Rhinolophus ferrumequinum: one gene and its partner. The protein of the gene in region 2 purifies or fractionates together with the protein of the main gene of each other region. This does not show direct contact. Links are inferred from orthologs where the notes say so. Each region holds a gene or a part of one and is shown on either strand. Other genes may lie near its edges.

What was found.
Region 1: the proteins of galectin-3-binding protein (region 2) and TUBGCP6 purify together in Homo sapiens (co-immunoprecipitation; 4 studies listed by BioGRID and IntAct, counting the BioPlex papers as one, with this or other methods). This does not show direct contact. The link is inferred for Rhinolophus ferrumequinum from reciprocal best matches to the Homo sapiens genes LGALS3BP and TUBGCP6.

Annotation. Positions count from the first base shown.
Region 1 is NC_046293.1:454,641-464,100, forward strand, and holds the start of TUBGCP6 (gamma-tubulin complex component 6), read left to right. Parts: upstream 1-5,422; 5' UTR 5,423-5,943; coding exon 5,944-6,762; intron 6,763-7,606; coding exon 7,607-7,770; intron 7,771-9,460. Other genes in the region: polyamine deacetylase HDAC10, read left to right, coding at 15-73, 143-277, 516-612, 866-963, 1,049-1,153, 1,299-1,367, 1,531-1,657, 1,847-1,912 and 12 more. UniProt on the Homo sapiens protein: Component of the gamma-tubulin ring complex (gTuRC) which mediates microtubule nucleation.
Region 2 is NC_046304.1:52,739,552-52,748,997, forward strand, and holds the start of galectin-3-binding protein, read right to left. Parts: upstream 4,466-9,446; 5' UTR 4,350-4,465; intron 3,642-4,349; exon of another isoform or gene 3,518-3,641; intron 1-3,517.

The DNA.
Region 1 (9,460 bases), on a different chromosome or scaffold from region 2:
ACCACGGCCTGCCCATGGGAACCGCACTCGTGTACCACGAGGACATGACCGAGGCCAGGCTGCTGTGGGAGGAGTAAGTGTGACTTGGCAGAGGCGGGGGAAGGGGAGGGGACTCTGGACTCTGAGCTCTGTGTCCACTCAGCCCCGAGTGTGAGATCGAGTCTCCTGAGCGCCTGACCACCGCCCTGGAACGCCTGCAGCAGCGCGGCCTGGAGCAGAGGTGCCTGCGCTTGGCTGCCCGAGAGGCCTCAGAGGCAGAGCTGGGCCTGGTGCACAGGTCAGACCCTGGCAGGCCACATACCCTGGAGGACACAGGTCGCAGCCGAGGATCTGGGCCTCCCTGGGCCTGCCAGCACTGCACAAACAGTGCCTCTCCCCCATGTGCCTCAGTTTCATCATCGGGTGGGTGGGGGAGGGAGCAATGAGGTGGGCAGTCCCACCTAGGGTTTGCCCCTCTTTTCCTCTTCTCTCCATTCATGTTAGTGACCCTGCCTTCCCTGCCTGCTCCTCTGCAGCCCAGAGTACGTGGCCCTGTTGCGGGGGACCCAGGCCTTGGGCACGAGGGAGCTCCAGGCACTGTCTAGACAGTATGATGCCATCTACTTCCATCCGGTGCGTGCCCTGGGGACACACCCACCCACCCAGACACACATGCTTGTTCACGCCCATGGCCGCCAGACCTGGCCAAAGTCCCCAAGTTCATGGACATGCCAACACCCTGCACACCTGCTGGCTGCCGCTGCTTGCACCTGGGACGATCCTGGCCCATTCCATTCAGCGCTTCGTGCCCTGCAGCCTGGCACAGGGCTGGGCAGAGTCTGAGGTGTAGTGGTGGGGGGGCTCATCTTCACCCCTCCCCCCACAGAGTACCTTCCACTGTGCCCGGCTGGCTGCAGGGGCCGGGCTGCAGCTGGTGGATGCAGTACTGACAGGAGCTGTGCATAACGGGTTTGCCTTGGTGAGGTGAGAGCTGTCCCCCTACCATAGCTGCTTCCCATGTGGGCACAGGGTGACCGTGCCATGCCCCATGCCCCGCTCTCACCTGCAGGCCTCCTGGGCACCACAGCCAGAGGGCTGCCGCCAATGGATTCTGTGTGTTCAATAATGTGGCCTTAGCGGCCAAACATGCCCAGGAGAAGCATGGGCTGCACAGGTGTGTGCTGGGCCAGCTGCAGGGGGCGGGGCCAGATGGAAGGGCTGCTGCTGAGACCCCACCCAGCCCCTTGCATCCTGGACTAGGCTCTGGCATGGAGGCGGGAGGCCACTGCCCTTGTGACCTCCGTGCTCTCTGTCCCCAGGATCCTCATCGTTGACTGGGATGTCCACCATGGCCAGGGCATCCAGTATACCTTTGAGGACGACCCCAGGTGACCTGGGGGCGGGGACCCCACTCTTCCGGGGCACGTAGCCTGGCCTGGGAAAATCCAAGTGGGAAGACATGGTGGTTTGCTCCAGGGTCAGGGTTCTGAGAGGAGCCATGGGGCTGAGGGTCCTGACCGCTGACCTCTGACCATGGCCGGTTATCCCTAGCATCCTTTACTTCTCCTGGCACCGCTATGAGCATGGGCGCTTCTGGCCCTACCTGCGAGAGTCCAATGCAGACACTGTCGGGCAGGGACAGGGCCGAGGCTTCACTGTCAACTTGCCCTGGAACCAGGTGCCACCTTTCACCACCCACCCTACTCCCCAGATCCCCCACCCAGCCCACATCCCCCACCCCACAGCTCCAAGCCTCCTGAGTGTAGTCCAGGGCATCCTGCCAGGGTCACCCCCAGAGCCCGGGCTCCAGGAGTGAAGGCCCCACAGCCCCCCTGACGGGGCCCACCGCTGACGCCCGTGGCTGCAGGTCGGGATGGGAAATGCTGACTACGTGGCTGCCTTCCTGCATGTGCTTCTCCCTGTGGCCTTTGAGGTGACCGTGTGGGGGACAGGGGCAGGAGGGTGGGAGGGGGACTCAATGCCCAGAGTTCCCCCCCACTCCACTGGAGCAGAGCTGAGCCCTGGGGTGGGGACGGTCTCTCTGGAAGGGCCTCCCCTTCACCCCACCCCACCTGGCCCTGCCCACAGTTTGACCCTGAGCTGGTGCTAGTCGCGGCAGGATTTGACTCAGCGATCGGGGACCCCGAGGTGAGGGCCCGGCCTGGCTGGGAGGGCTTCTCTGCTGGGGTCCTGCAGCCAGGCCCCGTCATACCTGCTCTGGTTCCAGGGGCAGATGCAGGCCACGCCAGAGTGCTTCGCCCACCTCACACAGCTGCTGCAGGTGCTGGCTGGTGGCCGGGTCTGCGCTGTGCTGGAGGTGACTATAGTGAGCAGGGAGGGCCCACGGGCCAGAGGCTGAGGTGCTGCCTGAGGGGCCTGCCCCCCAATAATACCCCTGCCCCAGTCACACCTCTGCCCTCCTCCCTCCTCCCAGGGTGGCTACCACCTGGAGTCGCTCTCCCAGTCAGTGTGCATGATGGTGCAGGCCCTGCTGGGTGACCCTGCCCCACCCCTGTCGGGGCCCATGGTGCCACATCACAGGTGCGAGGGGCAGAAGGGTGGGAAGGGCTGTGGCTGCCAGGCCAGGCCTCACCATTCCTGGTTCTCCCCATAGCGCCTTGGAGTCCATCCAGAGTGTCCGGGCAGCACAGGCCCCTCACTGGACAAGCCTCCAGCAGGAAGGTCAGTGTGGCGTGGGCTGGGTGGGGGGGTTGCACCTTGGGCTCCTACACAGTGGCTGAGACTCTGAACCACTCCTAGGCCCGGTCCCCGTCCCAAGTCCCAGTAACTACTCCCCAGAGGGGAGACCCTCGACTCTGCTGCCTGGGGGTTCTGAATTCAAGACTGCAGCAGCCCAGGCCGCGGCAGCACTGAGCTCCCTCCTAGACCAGCTGTGCCTCCAGCCTACACCTCCTGTCCGCACGGCTGTTGCCCTGACTTCGCTGGGCGCTGGCCTGGTCCTGCCCCCTGATGTCCTCTGTGAGGAGGGGTCAGCCCCGCAGGAGGAGATGCAGGCCTGGGCCAGGTGGGCAGAATGGGCTGGGGAATGGGATGGGGCTGTGTCCACCACGTACCCTTGTGTGACTCACCTGTGGTCTGTGTCACCCCGTGGCGATGTGTTCCTCTGGTTTGCCTGCCACAGGCTACATGAGGCCTTGGCCAAAGACGAGGCCCTCACTGCACTTGGGAAGGTCCTATACCTCTTGGATGGGATCCTGGACGGGCAGGTAGGGGCACCTGGAAAGGGCTGGGGTGACTGTGGAGCTGGGGGCAGGGCCCAGGGCCCAGGACCTGCCCAGGACCAGTGGCCTGTCCAGGGGAATGCTGAGAGGTACAGAACCCGTGGACATGAGTGTCACCTTGTGCCCAAGACCTTTCCCACAACAGCCCCAGGGACAGGGTCATGAGCACCCCATCAGGCCCCTCAACTAAATGCTCTTTGGCAGAGAGGGGCAAACTGTGAGCATCTTATTTTCAGAAGTGGAACAATTAGACCTCAGAGTTTACGGATGACAGTCACTGAGGCAGGGACCAAAAGAAGGGACTGATGGGTGTTTCCCTGGTTTGGGGGGTGCTCTCCACTGCTCTTACACTCCTCAGGTGAGCAGCGGCATCACAGACACCCCAGCCCCTGCTGCAGCTGCCACCCTGGATGTGGCCATTCGGCGCGGACTGTCCCAGGGAGCCCAGAGGTAAGCGTAGGCTGGCCGGCCTGAGCCTCCGAGGGCATGGCCCATGGGCACCCCCGCCCTGGCTGGCCACGTAGGGAGGGCTCTGAGAATGGACTCCGGTGTGTGGGGGGGTGCATCAGCCTGTCCTGGGGCCGACTCTTCCTCTAGGCTGCTGTGTGTGGCCGTGGGACAGCTGGACCGGCCCTCAGACCTTGCTGATGATGGGTATGACTCTTGGGTCACGTGTACGTCTTGTTCTGCATGGGGGGGGGCACATTGCTCTGGGTTCCCAGAGGTGATGGGTGGGTGGGCTGACGGGTCGTTGGGAGCAGTGCCAGGAGGGTCTCTGGCAGAGTCAGCACTCCCAGAACCCCTACCCCTGAGCTCCCCTCTATCGTGGGCTCTGGAGGGTGAGTGGACACATGTCCATGTGCTCACTCTCCCCCGGAAGGAGGAATCTGTGGCTGAACATCAGGGGCAAGGAGGCAGCTGCCCTGTCCACGTTCCACGTGTCAGTGCCACTGCCAGCGGTGAGTGATGGTGTCCCAGGGCTGGGCAGTGGCTGCTCACTGGCACCATCATGAGGGCCAGGCCCCTGGCCTTCACCTGCCCTCTTGGCCTCCTGAGGGGACTGGTGGTGTGGCTGCCCACCCAAGACTGGCAGGAGGGGTGTCCCCTGGGTGAGGGGCTGGGCTATGCTTCTGTCCCTCCCACAGACAACTGGTGGATTCCTGAACTGTGTCCTGGCCTTGGTGCTGCCCCTGGCCTATGGCTTCCAGCCTGACCTGGTGCTGCTGGCACTGGGGCCGGCTCATGGCCTGCAGGACGCCCAAGCTGCACTCCTGGCCGCACTGCTGAGGGTGCCAGCAGGGGGCCGAGTCTTGGCCCTCGTGGATGCGGTGAGTTAGGCAGGGTGGACGTGCTGTGCGGTGGGAGGTGGGGAGAGACCAGTGATTCACTTTCATCTCTGCCCTGGCCCAGGAGTCCACACCACGGCTCGCGGGAGTGCTGGCCCGGGTGCTGTGTGGGGAGGCGCCCCCCAGCCTCGGTCCCTTCTCTGTGGCCTCCCCAGAGGACACGCAGGCCCTGAAGTACCTGAGAGGGCAGCTGCAGCCACATTGGAAGATGCTGCAGGTGGCCGGTGAGACTGGGGGACAAGACTCAGGTTCAATGCTTGTGGCTGTGGGGGGACAGTTCTGCCTTAGAGCTCCGGGGCGGGAGGGGCGCAGGTCTTGGGGCGTGGGGTGCTGCCCTGCACCAGCTCAGAGCAGAGCCAAGCTGACTGTGTGCCTCTTCCCAGCTCCCGTTTGAGTGCTGTGACCTGGTTGCTGGAAATCAGCTAGGTGGGAGGACTTACACCCCGGAAATGACACTACCAACCAGTCCCCCAAGAGCCGGTTGTTAAACATTCACCCGAACACCACTGCCAGAGGCCTCTGTCCTGATGTCCAGGCCACGGGCCGCCCAGCGCACTGGCGCAGGGGCAGTGTCCACTGCAGGGACCTGAAGCCCCACTGCACACTCGCCTCTGCACGGAAGGCCCCGCCCAACCCCCCTCCACTCCATTCAGTAAAGGGTTAAGCGAAAGTCTGACTCCGCCTCCGTCACTGAGCCCGCGGCGTCGGACCTCAGTTCCCCCACCTGTGGGAACGCGGCTTCAAACCGGAAGCCGAAAGTGCTCTGGGGTGGCGGCCTCCAGGCCCCGCCCCCTGCTCGCCCTGGCCCCGCCCCCTCTGTACGGGCCGCCGGCCTCCCCGGTGACGCAATTCCGGCGCGCCAGCTCCAGCGGTTTTGCGGGTCGCGTGGCAGTGACGCCACGGCGGCGGGCGCTGATGCGGCGCGCTCTTTTTGGACCAGGCCTGGTGAGCCGGCGGCTGAGCGGGCCTGACCCCACGCCCCCTGCCGGGCACCCCGCTCCCTCCTCGGGCGGCCCCGAGAAAACGTGCAAAGCCGGGTCCGTGCACTGCCTACTGCCCGCGCGCGTCTCCTTGGGTTTGTCACGGTTCTGTGACCCCTAAAGGTTGAGGGCTACGGAATTGGAGAGGTGCCAAGCTGGCGCTCTGCAGGCTGTGGCGGGCCGCGGGGTGCAGGCGGCCATGGGCCGGGCCGGGGAGGGCAGAACCACCGCAAGACCGCCGTTAAAATACAAGTCCTGAGCCTCCAGACGCTGGTTAAGGAGGCCGCCTGCCAGTCAGCCCTGTGCGATCCGCTCCTTGGCTTTCAGAGGGCGACGTGCAGCCCGGGTGAGACGCTTTCCCACGCGCTGAGGGCCCGGAGCTGAGACGGGGTGGGCATGGCCAGCATCACCCAGCTGTTCGACGACCTGTGCGAGGCCCTTCTGCCCGCTGCAAAGGCTCACCTGGGCCAGCGCAGCGTGAGCCGAAAGGAGGCCAAGCAGAGCCTCAAGAGGGTGGCCTACAACGCTCTTTTCACGAAACTTTTTCGAGATGAGACTCATAAGCTGCAGCCTGACCTCTGGAAAGTCCCAGTGAAAAACAAGATGCTCATGCTGTCCTTTGACTTAAGAGTCGGTGGCCTGGGCCCCGAGGCTGATCGTTTGGAGGAGCTGGTAGAGAAACTCGAAGCCGCCCCCTGCTGTCCGCTTGGGGAGGTGCGGTCTGTTTTGGACCTCCTGGTCCAGCTGGCAGGGAGTGGGCCCCCTCAAGTGCTGCCACCCAAACGGGACTACTTCTTCAACAACAAGCACGTTGGGAGAAACGTGCCTTACAGCGGCTACGACTGCTATGATCTGAGTGTGTTTGAGATGGACGTTCAGTCTCTGATCTCCAGAGAGGAGTATTTATGTCAGGACACGATCCAGAAAGCGCTTCAGGTGATGGAGGCGACGCCGGGCACCGGTCTGCCCTCTGTCGGGCTCTTCTCGTACGGTGACCCTTGCGGTGACAGGTTTGAGAGAGACACCCGGGCCTCGTTCTTCGGAGCCCTGGTGCACAGCCGCACGTACGACATGGATGTCAGACTGGACTTGCCCCTGGTGCCAGGCAGCGTGGACCTGTCTGGACTGTGTATTAAGGTACAGTCCACCTCTCCTGCCTGCAGCTGTGGAGGCGTTTGGAAAGCCTCCTTTGATCTTCCTTCTGTCACGGTAAAGGTAGGGTAGCGCTGGAGTCCAGGTCACTTGGTGGCTGAGCTGTGCTGATGCTGAGGTGGGGCAGCCCGAGTGGGCTTCCTGGCACCCACCTTCCTGGGCGAGGATGCTGCTGCCCACCAGTAAGGCAAACCAACGTGCTGCTTTTCTCTTGTATTTGACAGGACATGTTGTCAAATCACTTCCTCTGCCCTCTAAATTGCCCTCTAAACTTAATTAAAATGAGACATTTAGTTCCTCAGTTGCACAGGCCACGTTTCAAGTGTGCAGTAGCCACATGTGGCAGAAAATATTTGTTTAGACTCTGCATGCAGTTTTATATACTTCTCCGCCTGTAATGTGCGGTTTTCCTACATCGTCAGGTGCATCACTGGACTTTGGATGTGGTGGTTTTATACGTACTGATGAAAGGATGTGCTGTCACCAGTCACTTCCTTCTGGGGTGTTAAGGTTATTCCCAGACAAAGGTGATGCTCTAGTGAACATCTTGGTCTATGTAAATTTTTCTGTCTCTGGTATGATTTTTATGCTGCATCCCCCAAATGGAATTTCCAGATTGGAGGCATTTCATGAAAAATTTCATTGTAAGTTCTATGGAGGCTTATGCATTGTGTGAAATTGGAATTGATACATTAGTAAATTAATTTGTTTAATTACTTTTAGTGGTTTAATGGAGGAAAAAACACTATGTAGTACACACGTGCTCCAGAAAAATAGAAACATTCTGCTAGGTCTTTCCCATATGAGTAAGTGAAAATGTGTGGGGAATCCTGGAATTCTGATCGCACTTGGGTGAAGGTAGACCCAAAGATGTGTGTGGCATTTCCTTCTTTCCTCTGGTCTCCAGGTTCCTCAGAGTGTGGATCAATCGGAAGATGAAGGGTTCCAGTCAGCATCCAACTTGACTCCTGATTCCCAGTCTGAACCAGGCATGACCCCCGACATGGACCTGTGGGAGGCCGTGCTCACCTATGAGGCCAGCAAGCGGAGGTGCTGGGAGCAAGTTGGCTGGTACGTGAGCGTTTGCCCTTAAATCACTTCTCTCCTCCCCGCTGTGAATGTGGCTTTCCTGAGAGCCCAGGGAGTTGCTTGTAGAAGCAGCTGTGATGGGTTTAGGAGCCTGGAAGCTTGGTCACGCTAGTGCACAGAGTCGTCTTTGTTCTGGGAGTTGAGAGGAAGGTCTGGGAGAAAGGACTCCCCGGCTTCACTGAGGTTCCCAATGTGCCACAACTTCCACAAATCACACTTTCCAGTTAGAGCAGTCAGGTGACAACTGAGTTAACACGTTACCAGGAGGGCGGTCTGGCAGGCGGTGTGGTCAGTCCCAGACAAGGGATGCTGCCAGAGGCGTTTTCTTCATGCCCACTGTTCCTCTCATCTAGAAGGGCTGGGAGCTCTGGCTGGTGAGCGCGTCAGCAGGGTTTCCCTGACTGCTGCCTGAAGCTCGCTCCTGGGGCTCATCCGGGGCCAGAGGCCTGTCCACTCAGGACCTCTCAGAGTCTGTACAGTGCTTCTGTCTCTTGAAACTTCCAGAATGGGAATAGAGGACACAGATTTTCAACGTTTGGTCATGGCACCCTCTTGTCACATGTCATCTGTGGGTAGGTCCGTGACATACCAGCGTAGGGAACACTGAATAAAAGAACTGTGGTTAGCAGGGAGCTGAGTGCCTCCTGATGCAGCCATGGGCTCCCGCAGGGTCTCCCGCACCTGAGCACCTGCTCAGGGGCAGACATTTCATAGGTGTGTGTGTGCACTGGTCCTGCTGGGGTAGCTTTCCTGGCATGGTCACCCTCCCCACGTGCACTCCTCCCCACACAGCAGCTCCGTAAGCTCTGTCGGTGTGGGCAGCTGTCTTGTCTCCGAGCGCTGTCTGTGCCATGTAACCCTGTGAGGCCTCAGTCCTGTCTTCTGTGTACAAAGCCAGTCTAACCATCTGGCTTTCTGTTGAGCCCTCACATGTCTAAAAAGTGGCCCAACAAGTTACCCCTTTCTCTTAGCATCTTCACTGACCAATCAGAGCGGCTCCATTTGATCAGTCAGGACAGTGTTTTTTACACAAATCAAACAGGGTTTGGAGTCTCATTTGCATGAGGACGGAGCAGTCAGACCGCGGCAGGGACTTCTGTCTATATGAGTCACTCCCCCTGGCTGGGAGAGCACACTTTCCCTTTCTGCCAAAGACAGAGTACGTTATAAACCCGGCCAGCGTGGGGGCAGGCAGGACAGTGGAGCAGAGCTGAGCTGTCTGGTGGGCTGGAGTGGAGAAGCAACACGGGGCTGGGCCGCTGTCTCTCAGTGGCTCACAGCCCAGCTGTTTAACCATTGAACTGTTAAGTCTCTTCCCACCCGCACCCCAAGTTGGGGACTCCTGTTGGCATTGAGCTGTCAGCGACGACCTTTAGCTGACACTACTTTTCTAAGCTTAGTTTCTCAGGCCACTGTTCAGAAGACATGACCGCTCCCCAATCTCTCTTCAGCTCTGTTCTCAAGGCACTTAATGTCCTCAGTGTCCCCACGGTGGGTGTTTCCTGTGAGGACTGTAGCTGGCAGCATAAGCGTAGGCGGCCTCTGCAGGCCGACCCCCAGGGCTCCTCCTCTGTCTGATCTGGTCTCAGCCGCATCCACTGCCCCTGCCCTCTGAGGCTCAAGCTCACTTGGTGAAGTTTTTGAACTGGGTCAGTTTCAATCCCAGCCTCCT
Region 2 (9,446 bases):
ATGCCCTCCGGGAAGCAGGGCCCATGCTGGCATCTCTCCCTGCCCACACTCCTCAGAGCTCTAAGCAGCTGAAATGCTTTCCTGTGACAAGTTTATCAGCCCCACCATCTGCAGCATAACGGGCGGTTTTATATCACCAAGAAAATTAGGACCCAGTCGCTGGGCTCACCTGTTCAGGTGGGCCAGCAAACAAGTTCTCTCCAGGCTCAGAGCCCCCTGGAGGCCGCACCCCTGCTGGCTTCCTTTTTCTGGAGCCGGCAGCCAGCCACAGGGCAGGGCAACAGGCTGGAGAGAGTTAACCATGAGGAGGGACAACCACCCCCAAGGCTCCAGCCCCAGCCCCCCACCCCCTTTCAGGCAGGTCTCAAGAACGGCTCACTGACACTCATGCATTTCCGGCTTCCTGTGCAACAGGCCTGAACTAGCGTCAGTGTAAGGGCTGTGTCTGTAGCTCCCCAGGGCACCCCCCGATTCCAGGGGGGCAGCACGCTGTCTTGGTACACACCCAGGGAGTAGAGTGAGCAGCCCCTCCACTGCAGCCAAGAATCAGGGCAGGCTCAGACACCCCCACCTTCACCTTCACCCCCAGGCTGGCCTCCGCACCCGACACAAGGCTTACATTCAGCTCACAGCCAAGAGGGTCGCTTCCCCGGTTTCCTGTAGGAGTGGCCCGGACAGGTGGCAGAACAAACAGGTTTAAGGCAGCTACCTGAGCAAAACTCTGACCTTTCAGGATCCAGGGAGGGCCGGAAGCACAGTTCAGCTCGGAGATAAGGTGGCCCGCTCCCAGCTCCCTGCCTCAGGGACGGGGCAGCCACTGTCCTCCCCAGGCCCTGGGGTCTGCAGAGTGGCTGCCTCTCCTTCTCCACCACGGTCTCTGAACGGTCCTAAAGAGCCATCAGACTGCAGGCAGGAGTCCCTAGTCTGCCCACCGGCAAAGTGCACTTTCTGGTTGGAAAGTAGAGTGACACGCGCTGACCTTCAGACTCCTTACAGGCAAGACAGACACCAAGGGCCTCCAGCACCAGCGCTGACAGCGTCTAAACCCAGCTCTCTGGATCCTCCCTTCGCCCGCCTGTCCCTTACTCAGCCCCTTCCGTGACAGGCAATCACGACTGCTCACCGAGTCAAGTTAAATACAGTTCGGGTGACTTCTTTTTCTGTCCTTTGTTTCTGTTTGTAAGTCAGCCGCCCAAGCGGAGTGTGTCAGTTGTCTCCTGCTGCTGTAACAGCAGTGCAGGCTGCACAGCTTGAACACCACACACTTACTTTACAGATGCAGGACGGAAGTCCGACATGGGTCACACTGGGCCAAAATAAAGGGCTGGTCCTTTCAGAGGCTCGAGGGGAGGACCCGTCTCCTGGCCGTTTCCAGTTGCTAGCGGCTGCCCTCAGCCCGACTTGTGGCCCCTTCCTCCACCTTCAAAGCCAGCACTGTTGCATCTCCCTGGGCCTTTCCGCCATCATCCCCTCTGACACTCTCCGGCCCCCCTTCCACTGGTAGGGCCCTGTGGTCACACTGGGCCCACCTGGCCAATCCAGGACGAGCCCCCATTTTTAAGGTCAGATGATAAGTACCTGGAATTCCACGTGCTCCCTTAGCCCCCCTTTGCCACATAACACATTCGCAGGTCCCGGGGGTCAGGGCGTGGACCTCTGCGGGTGCGGATGGGCATTACTCTGCCGGCCACAGGGGCCGGGAAGAACCTACAGCTTTTCCCGGGGGCCGGGACCATTCACACAGCTCTGCCTCGGGGCGGGGGGCACAGCCTGAGTCTGCACTTCATCCTTACACCACAGCCGCTGTGCGTGCATAGTTTGTGCCGTCATCTAGGACTTTTGGAAAACAGCTGCCCTCCCAGTTGAAAGTGCCCTCATCCCAAACAAAACTACGCATCTTCGGCTTGTTTTTTGGAGAGCCCGGAACAAGGGGATGTGATAATCCCACGATCGGCCCAAGTCAGGGCTGCTCCCACAGACAGTGGACGCACCTGCCTGAACCCACCTGCTCTCCCGCGTGCCTCAGCGCGGGGCTACCAGGCACAGTGGCCAGCGAGCCATTCTAGACGGCTCCAACCTCACGCTCACGCCCACACTGTCATGCGCCCTCACTGTACCTGGTCAGGCCCCACGTGCACATGGCCCCGCCTCACTTCCCACGGCATGGTCCCTGGCTGGGCAGGGATGGCAGGGCACTCTGCTTGGGAACCGGAACTGTGACTTCCATTTAATGGCAGCGCTACTACAGATAAATGAGTGGGATTCAAAAGAAATGCAGACAAAAACAGAAAAACGAACATTTTCCCAAACAGGTTTTGCTAATATCAGGACTTTGTCTTGGTCTGATGAAAAGGAAAATCAACATAAAAGTGCTAAACAATTAATAGAAAAAATTTTAAATTCCCTTAACGTTGGCAATTAATAAGAACTTTCCAGAAATCTCCATAGTCCAGAGTGTCACTGAAAGGAAAATAATTTTTTTTTTTCAGTATCCTGGGTACCACGCCACAAATGTCTGTACAACAGGGAAACGTCTTCCTTGTCATAATACCGATCCAGTTCAGGACTCTGAACCATATTCCCCGATCGGAGATATTCTGTTTTTGAAAGAGAAAACACTAGAGCATTTATACACCTACCCTATACAGTTGCCATGACGACTGCCACAGTGCTGCCAAGAAAGTCCTGAGACTCAGATGAAAGGGGCCATGTGTATTTGTGGGAGCCCACAAGCGCTCACCTCAAAGGCCCCCTTCAGGGGGTGGGGATGAACACACCCCGAGCGAGACCTGCCCCCCACCCGGCACCCTGGTGTCTCCTCACTCCTCTGGGGCTTGGAAGACATGCAGATTAGGTGCAGTTGGACTGGCGGGTAGAAATTTCCTCAAGCACCAGCAGCCTAAACCAACGCCTTCACTACGTTGCTGTGGGCTATGAAAATATGGCGTGAACTACATTTGGGGGAACAAAGGAGACGTTTAGCTAATGGAAGGTATCAAAGGATCAGATTTTTACAGCTGAGGGATCACATGGTGACACACTGGTACCCACACCCTTGGAAATATGTGATTTCCTCCACCACCGGGCGAGGCAGCATCACCTTTGTGATCAGGTTCATTTGGACACGAAAGAGTAAGACCCAGAATCCTGTGTCCCAGCCCACTGGTGGTGGCCTTGTGACAGTGCCTGACCAAATCTGGGCTGCACAGGACTGGACACCCCTGCACTTCCAGAGGGGAGCAGGCTGGGCTGTTAACGTGCCTCTCAGCAGGGCACTCGGGGCTGAACAGAAGGTCACTGAGGCCGGCAGGGAGGGCCACCAGGAGGCCACCCTGGCTCTGGAAGAGGCCCCACTGAGCCCACAGGCTCAGGCTGCATTGTTTGCGGCTGAGGCCCGTGGGCTGGGGCTGGGGGCTGGACAACGCTCTGCAGCCCAGCCCAGGAAGACCTAACTCAACGAGCTCCTCAAGGGGGAGGAACGGGAGGCTGAGCACCTGCCTCCTTTCCATGGACCTACCTGCGACTGTGCTTTTGTCAAGTTTTGGCCCTTACACCCAAGTGCCGGCAAGATTCAGGTGACACCAGCAGATGTGTGTTCCCAAACTTGCGCTTTGTCCGAAACGTGGTAGGAAAAGCCGTCAAGCACATACCCCGAAGCAGGAATGAGACATGGGGCCGATGTGCTGCTGAGAGACACGGGTTTCCTGAGGGACACAGGTGCTTGGGAGAAAGCGGGGTCTGGCGCACGGAAGACTGCCGGCAGGTGTTAACGCCTGCCAAACCTAGGCACACAGAGGGCACGGGAAACGCACCGAGGGTGGCAAGGAGGCGGTGATCCCCAGGGATAAAAGGATCCAGACCAGATGGGGGAGCGCAAGGCGCGCAGAGGGAAAGGGGAGCGTGGCCCGTTTGAGTGCAAAAGGGAGGAAAGGGAGCTGCGCTGGGGGCAGGGAGAGCAAGGCCTGGCTTGGGGTGGGGAAGGCTGGCGCGCTGCAGGGGTGACCCGGTGCCAGGCAGGGCGGGCGGGCTCCCGAGCCCATCAGGAGAGGCCCTGCCCAGGTCCGAGTGGCGGCACCGAACACGGCGCGGGCGCTAGTCCGCGCCGTCAGACTCCGCCAGTCAGACGGGGGAGGAGTCTCCGAGTCAGAGGGGTAGGTGTCGCCCCCCGTCGGTAGGAGGGGACAGTTTCTCCGAGGCACCCCCGTCCGAGGGGACCGCTGACCTGTGGGTCAAGGGGCCCCAATAGGTCAGACAGGGAGGGAGCGTGCGGGGTCGGAGGGCGGCGGCAGGCGCTGGGGAGGCCGGCGCGAGGGGGAGCGCGGGCGGCTGCGGGCGCGGCCTTCACTCACCCGGGGCGGGCTGCTTCGGGGTCCCGCGGAAGCCGGGGCCTCGCTGCGGGAAGGGCCGGGACCGAGCGGGCGGCCGACTTCCGCCCGGCGCGCTCGTCCCGCCTCCGGGCAACACGCTCCCGGCAGCCTCTGCTCTGCGGCTGCGCGCCGGCCGCGTGCAGGGAGCTACTGGAAGTTGTAGTTTTGGATGCTCAGCGAGCTGGGCCGGGGGAAGGACCGGAGGGAGGAGGGCTGTCCGCGCTCCCCACCCGCAGGCCCCTTCCACCGCGTTATTCTGGAACGTCGGCCGAGCAGAAAGGGGAGGGGGGCGGAGGTGAAGGCTACGGGGAGGGGGGGTATCATTCCTCGAGCTGAGATTGTGAGACCCCTTGCCTGGTCCCCCGGACCTTCGTGGTCCTCCCGGGGCGTAGAGGCACGGAACCATTTCTGCCACCCTCATTCTCAGAGCCCTTCCCTTGGCTCTTCTAACCGCCTACGTCTGAATGTAGCTCAGTTTCCAAAGCAAAGGTCAGTACACAGGTGTACAGGCAGGAGCGGCCTGGGCTTGGGCCCCCCTAACTTGCAATCAACGAACCCCTTTCCAAACATGGGTCTCTAATTCATCCCGTTTCTCCAGCCCCCTGAGCTATTTGAATGGACTATGTTAAAAGGCATCCCGGCCCCTCACCCCTAAGTCCTGTAATGATGCTCATTTTAGAAATCCTGGAAGAAAAAAAGAAAAAAAAAAGCCCTATAGTAGTGGAGCGTCACACAGGAGCATGGCGAGGGGGTGCGTCAGTGCTCCCGGTCTGCACCTTCGGTCTCTGCATGCACACATCCCTGGTCTCTCAACAGCCTTCCATCAACAGACGCACAAGAGAAATTTCAAATTATATAAATGGTGCGCAGTGAAAGATAACCCTCCCTCCATACCCCCTCTGCGTTCCCTCCCCAGAGGTAACCATTAGTACTAGTTTCTTGTGGTCATTCTTACAGATATTTTGTGACACACAAACGAATCATAGCACATATGTTAAATTACTTTTAAACCTAATGGAAATGTGCTAAACATAAGGCTCTGCGTTTTTGAGGGGGAGGGGAGAAAAAAAACCTTTGCTGAATTCATTTATATTTTCCATCATATTAAACTGTATCCCAACCATATACCATATACTACAGTGTTTCCCCGAAAATGAGACTGGTTCTTATATTACTTTTTGCTCCAAAACACGCATTAGGGCGTATGTTCAGGGGATGTCATCCTGAAAAATCATGCTAGGGCTTATTTTCCGGTTAGGTCTTATTTTCGGGGAAACACGGTATAATTATTTTAAATTATTCACATCTTTTTTTTACTAAGATATCTACTTTCAGGTATGGCTCCCAACTTAAAAATAAAACACTAATCTTGTTATCTAGAGAGCTCTCTAGGTACTCCTTCCTGTTGCCAACTTCCTCCCACCCCAAGAGATAAACACAATCTTGAATGTTGTGGTAATCATTCTTGTGCTTTATTTTGTAATTTTAGCAAATAGGTTTGTATCCCTAAACTATATATATATATATATATATATATATATATATATGCATGTATTTTACAAAAATGAAATAGACCTGTTGCAATGGGTGAGCAATCCCATTGGCCCACAAGTACTATCAGGTGTATTCATTCATTTTACCAATCTGATAGCATGAAATGTCTTCTCCTTGCCTGATTACTGAGAAGTTGTGTATCTTTCTCAGATTTTTTTGATATCTATATATCTATATATCTATCTTTCTTCTGCTGCACATGCCCCAACATCTCAGTGCTGTTTTTAGAAAAGAATCCATCCTTTCCCCATTGATGTATGTGCAGTGCCAGTTTTGCCATAGCTCAAGTCTCCAGGGACATGTGGCTCTGTTTGGGAATTTCTGTTACTGTATGGGTATAATATTTCATATCAGCTCAATACCACTGTCCTCATTATCACCTCTTTATACTAAGCCTTCATAGGGTGCAGGACTATTGCCCTCCCCACCCCCACAGCAGCCCACATGCCCCTACCTTTTAGGATGTTAAATAGAATTGCTTCGAATCTGTAGATTGATTGGGAGAGAACTGAGATGTTTATGATATTGAGTCTTCTCCCCAAGAACGTGGTTGCCTTTCCGTTTACGTAGGTCTTTTTAAAAAAGTTTTTCAGTAAGGTTTGTAATTTTTCACTTCACAGAATAGCTTGTCCCATAGCATTTTACAGAGAGCTGCTTCATTCTCCACAGAGCGGTGTGTGGCATTCCACCGTGTGGATGGGATGTCATCTACTTTACCAGGCCCCGGTGATGTTCTTTCGGGATATCTGTGATCTTTTCACATTACAGCGATGTTACTTATTTGGGCACAACTATGAAGATATATGTAGGATCCCCAGAATAAATATTATCCCCAGAAGAAATATTACTATATCAAAGGGTGTTTGCATCCTCTAGTGAGTAGACAGACTTCCGCAGAGGTTGTGCCGTGAAATTGCACTCCTTATGGTCAGTGACTCCACGGACATCTACAACTAGGTTTTCCTTCAGTTTTCATTCCCTTTGTCTTCTTCGCATCACTGGAGACTTCACCATGGCCTTCTGCAGGAAATTCTCTCCTCCTTTGGTTTCTGGGCTGTGCATGAACAACGAAAAATTCTTCACTTTAGTCATTCATTCATGTGTTGAGTTACTCAATGGACTCACTCATTCATTTCAAAGTCGAGTGCTTAGAATTATGCAGTCCACCAGGGGGCCCTCCCATTTTATTAAAACATTGCCTTACGGTCTGTCTATGCCAATCTCTGAAAGTTCCCAAAAGGAATTCTCAAAATAGGGATGGAAATGAGAGATGGAGAAACTGAGGCATGGGGCATGACATGGCATCATTAGAGTCAGAAAGCACAGAAATGGTCAAAGTGAGACTGCACGTGTATTTTTTTTTTAAATCCCTGACTGCCCGTCTTTGCATCAAGAGTGCAGAGGGGACTTCCATGAAAGGTTTGTCCTCCTTAGAGGGGTCTCCTGCAGGTGTGAGGAGCATGAGGCAGCAGACCCGCCTGCTCTGTCCTTGTAGCTGCCAGTCCTGATTCCCACCTGCCCTGAGTCTTCTCGACCACGGGCACTGCCATCTAGGAGCAACGAGCGTGGGCCAGCGGCCAGGGAGGCTGGATCTGGCTGCCAAGTTTCCATCTCAGCTCCTTCCCCGAATCTCCACGGAGACTCTCCCACCCCCACCCCTTGGCAGTGAGACCCTGCCATCTGAGCCTGCCTGTGGTTACCCTTCAGATAGGAATTCAAAAGTCTGCAATCGGCCTCTGCCGTTGTGGGACAACTGGGCAGCCCGGCCCAAAATAGCTGGGAGAGGCAGAATGTTAGGGCCGCAGTGGGAAAAATCACAGTGCTGCTAATGACAGGCTGTGCTGATCTGGAACCAAGGGTCTTACAGACTTCAACCAAGGTCACATAGTTTTCTGCAACGATGAGAAAACAGACATGGTGAGTAGCAATGATATGCCCAGGGAAAGCAAGGAATTGGCCAACTTGGGAGGACACAGAGTGTCCTGCCTTCTGGGCCTCTATCCCAGAGAATGTTCTCGCATGGGTCTCTGGGCTTTACATCCCATGAGCTGCCCTTGTCTGAGCAGACGAGCCACTTGGGAATATTCAGGAAGCCTTTGAATCTTGGCCTTGGCCCAGACATCCTTTGTGTAGGTATGAGCTCCCAGGGAATTCCAGGATGGGCGTGGCCATCTGGAAGCCCAAGACAGAGTCCTTGGGGGGTGGGGGCCTCCTCATGCTGGTTGGCCCTGGCCTCTGACCCGTCACAAGGCTGATGAAATCTCCCCCAGGCACTGCTATTGGCTTTGGGTTCTGATGTGTTAATGCTGTTGGGTTTTTTTTTTTTTTTTTGCCATGACTCCTGTCCCAGCTCCAGTCAGGACTCTGTCCAACAGGAAGATACTTGCTGAACTGAGAAGGTTCTGTCCTGGTTGCTTGGGGGCGCTACCGCCGACCCTGGAGGAGAACCAGGCCGTCTGTAAGACCGCCCCTAGCTTGACAAATTTCCCATCTTTCCTCCTCAAAATTTTAAAGCAGAAAATGACGTTGATGACAAAGGGCATCAGGGCCATGGCCAGCTGTGTTTTGGTATTTTATTTCCTTTATTGAAGGCTGACTTGCATTCTTTGGGAGCCTGGCCTTGTTGGCTTGAGCTGTGGGCCGTGACGCTACGGCCCAAAATGTGCTCGGACCTCAGTTCCTGTGCTTCTGAGCTCCCCACGCCTCTGAGCCTTCTGTTTCACACCAGCATCTTGGGAAAGCCCAGCTCTTGTTGCCACGTTTAATACCACCCCCTGCCTCCAGGAAAATGAGTAATCCCTTTTCTAATCTCTCGGGAGACGTGGGGGCTCAACCCAGGAGAAGGGAGGGAAGAAGACTATACTTACAATGATGACAGTTGTGATGAACATTCCAGCACTTTGTACCTGCTCCGTCAACCCTTCATCAACTGTGTGAGAAATTAGTTTCATAATCCTCTGACAACTTCGTTTTCCCCTAAATTGGGCACCAACGAATTTGACAGAACAAGGTGACGCAAACTGCGAGGCTCTGAACGGCCTTCGTTTACCCCACGGCCGAACCTGCAAGTATCCAATGAAGGGGTGCTGCCCCCCAACCGCTGGGGTGGATGCTCTGTTTTATTTGCATCTTACTCTGAGCACATCTGGCCTCACGGGTTCCACGGCAGAGACCCGTGGACCTGTCTCTGCTTTACAGATAAGGAAACGGTAAGGCCCACCGAGCTGGGGCAGCGCTCCCAAGCTGAGGACTTACGGGGTCCCGCCACTGGACTTCTAGAGCTCTGCTCCATCCTGGCCTCCTCCCCGCCCAATTCGTGGCTTTGAATTATCTATGAGGTAACTGTCCTTTACTTCTTCAACACCAAAACTGTCTTGGAAGGGGTGAAGGGAGGGGACAAATCGTCCATCTTTGCGTCTGTTTCTCTTTCAAGCCGCGTGCCCAGCTTCGTGTGCAGAGGTCCTCTGTGGGTCCAGCGCTCCCCAGGCCTGAGTCCCTGGGTAGGGCAATGGGGAGCTTTCCCAT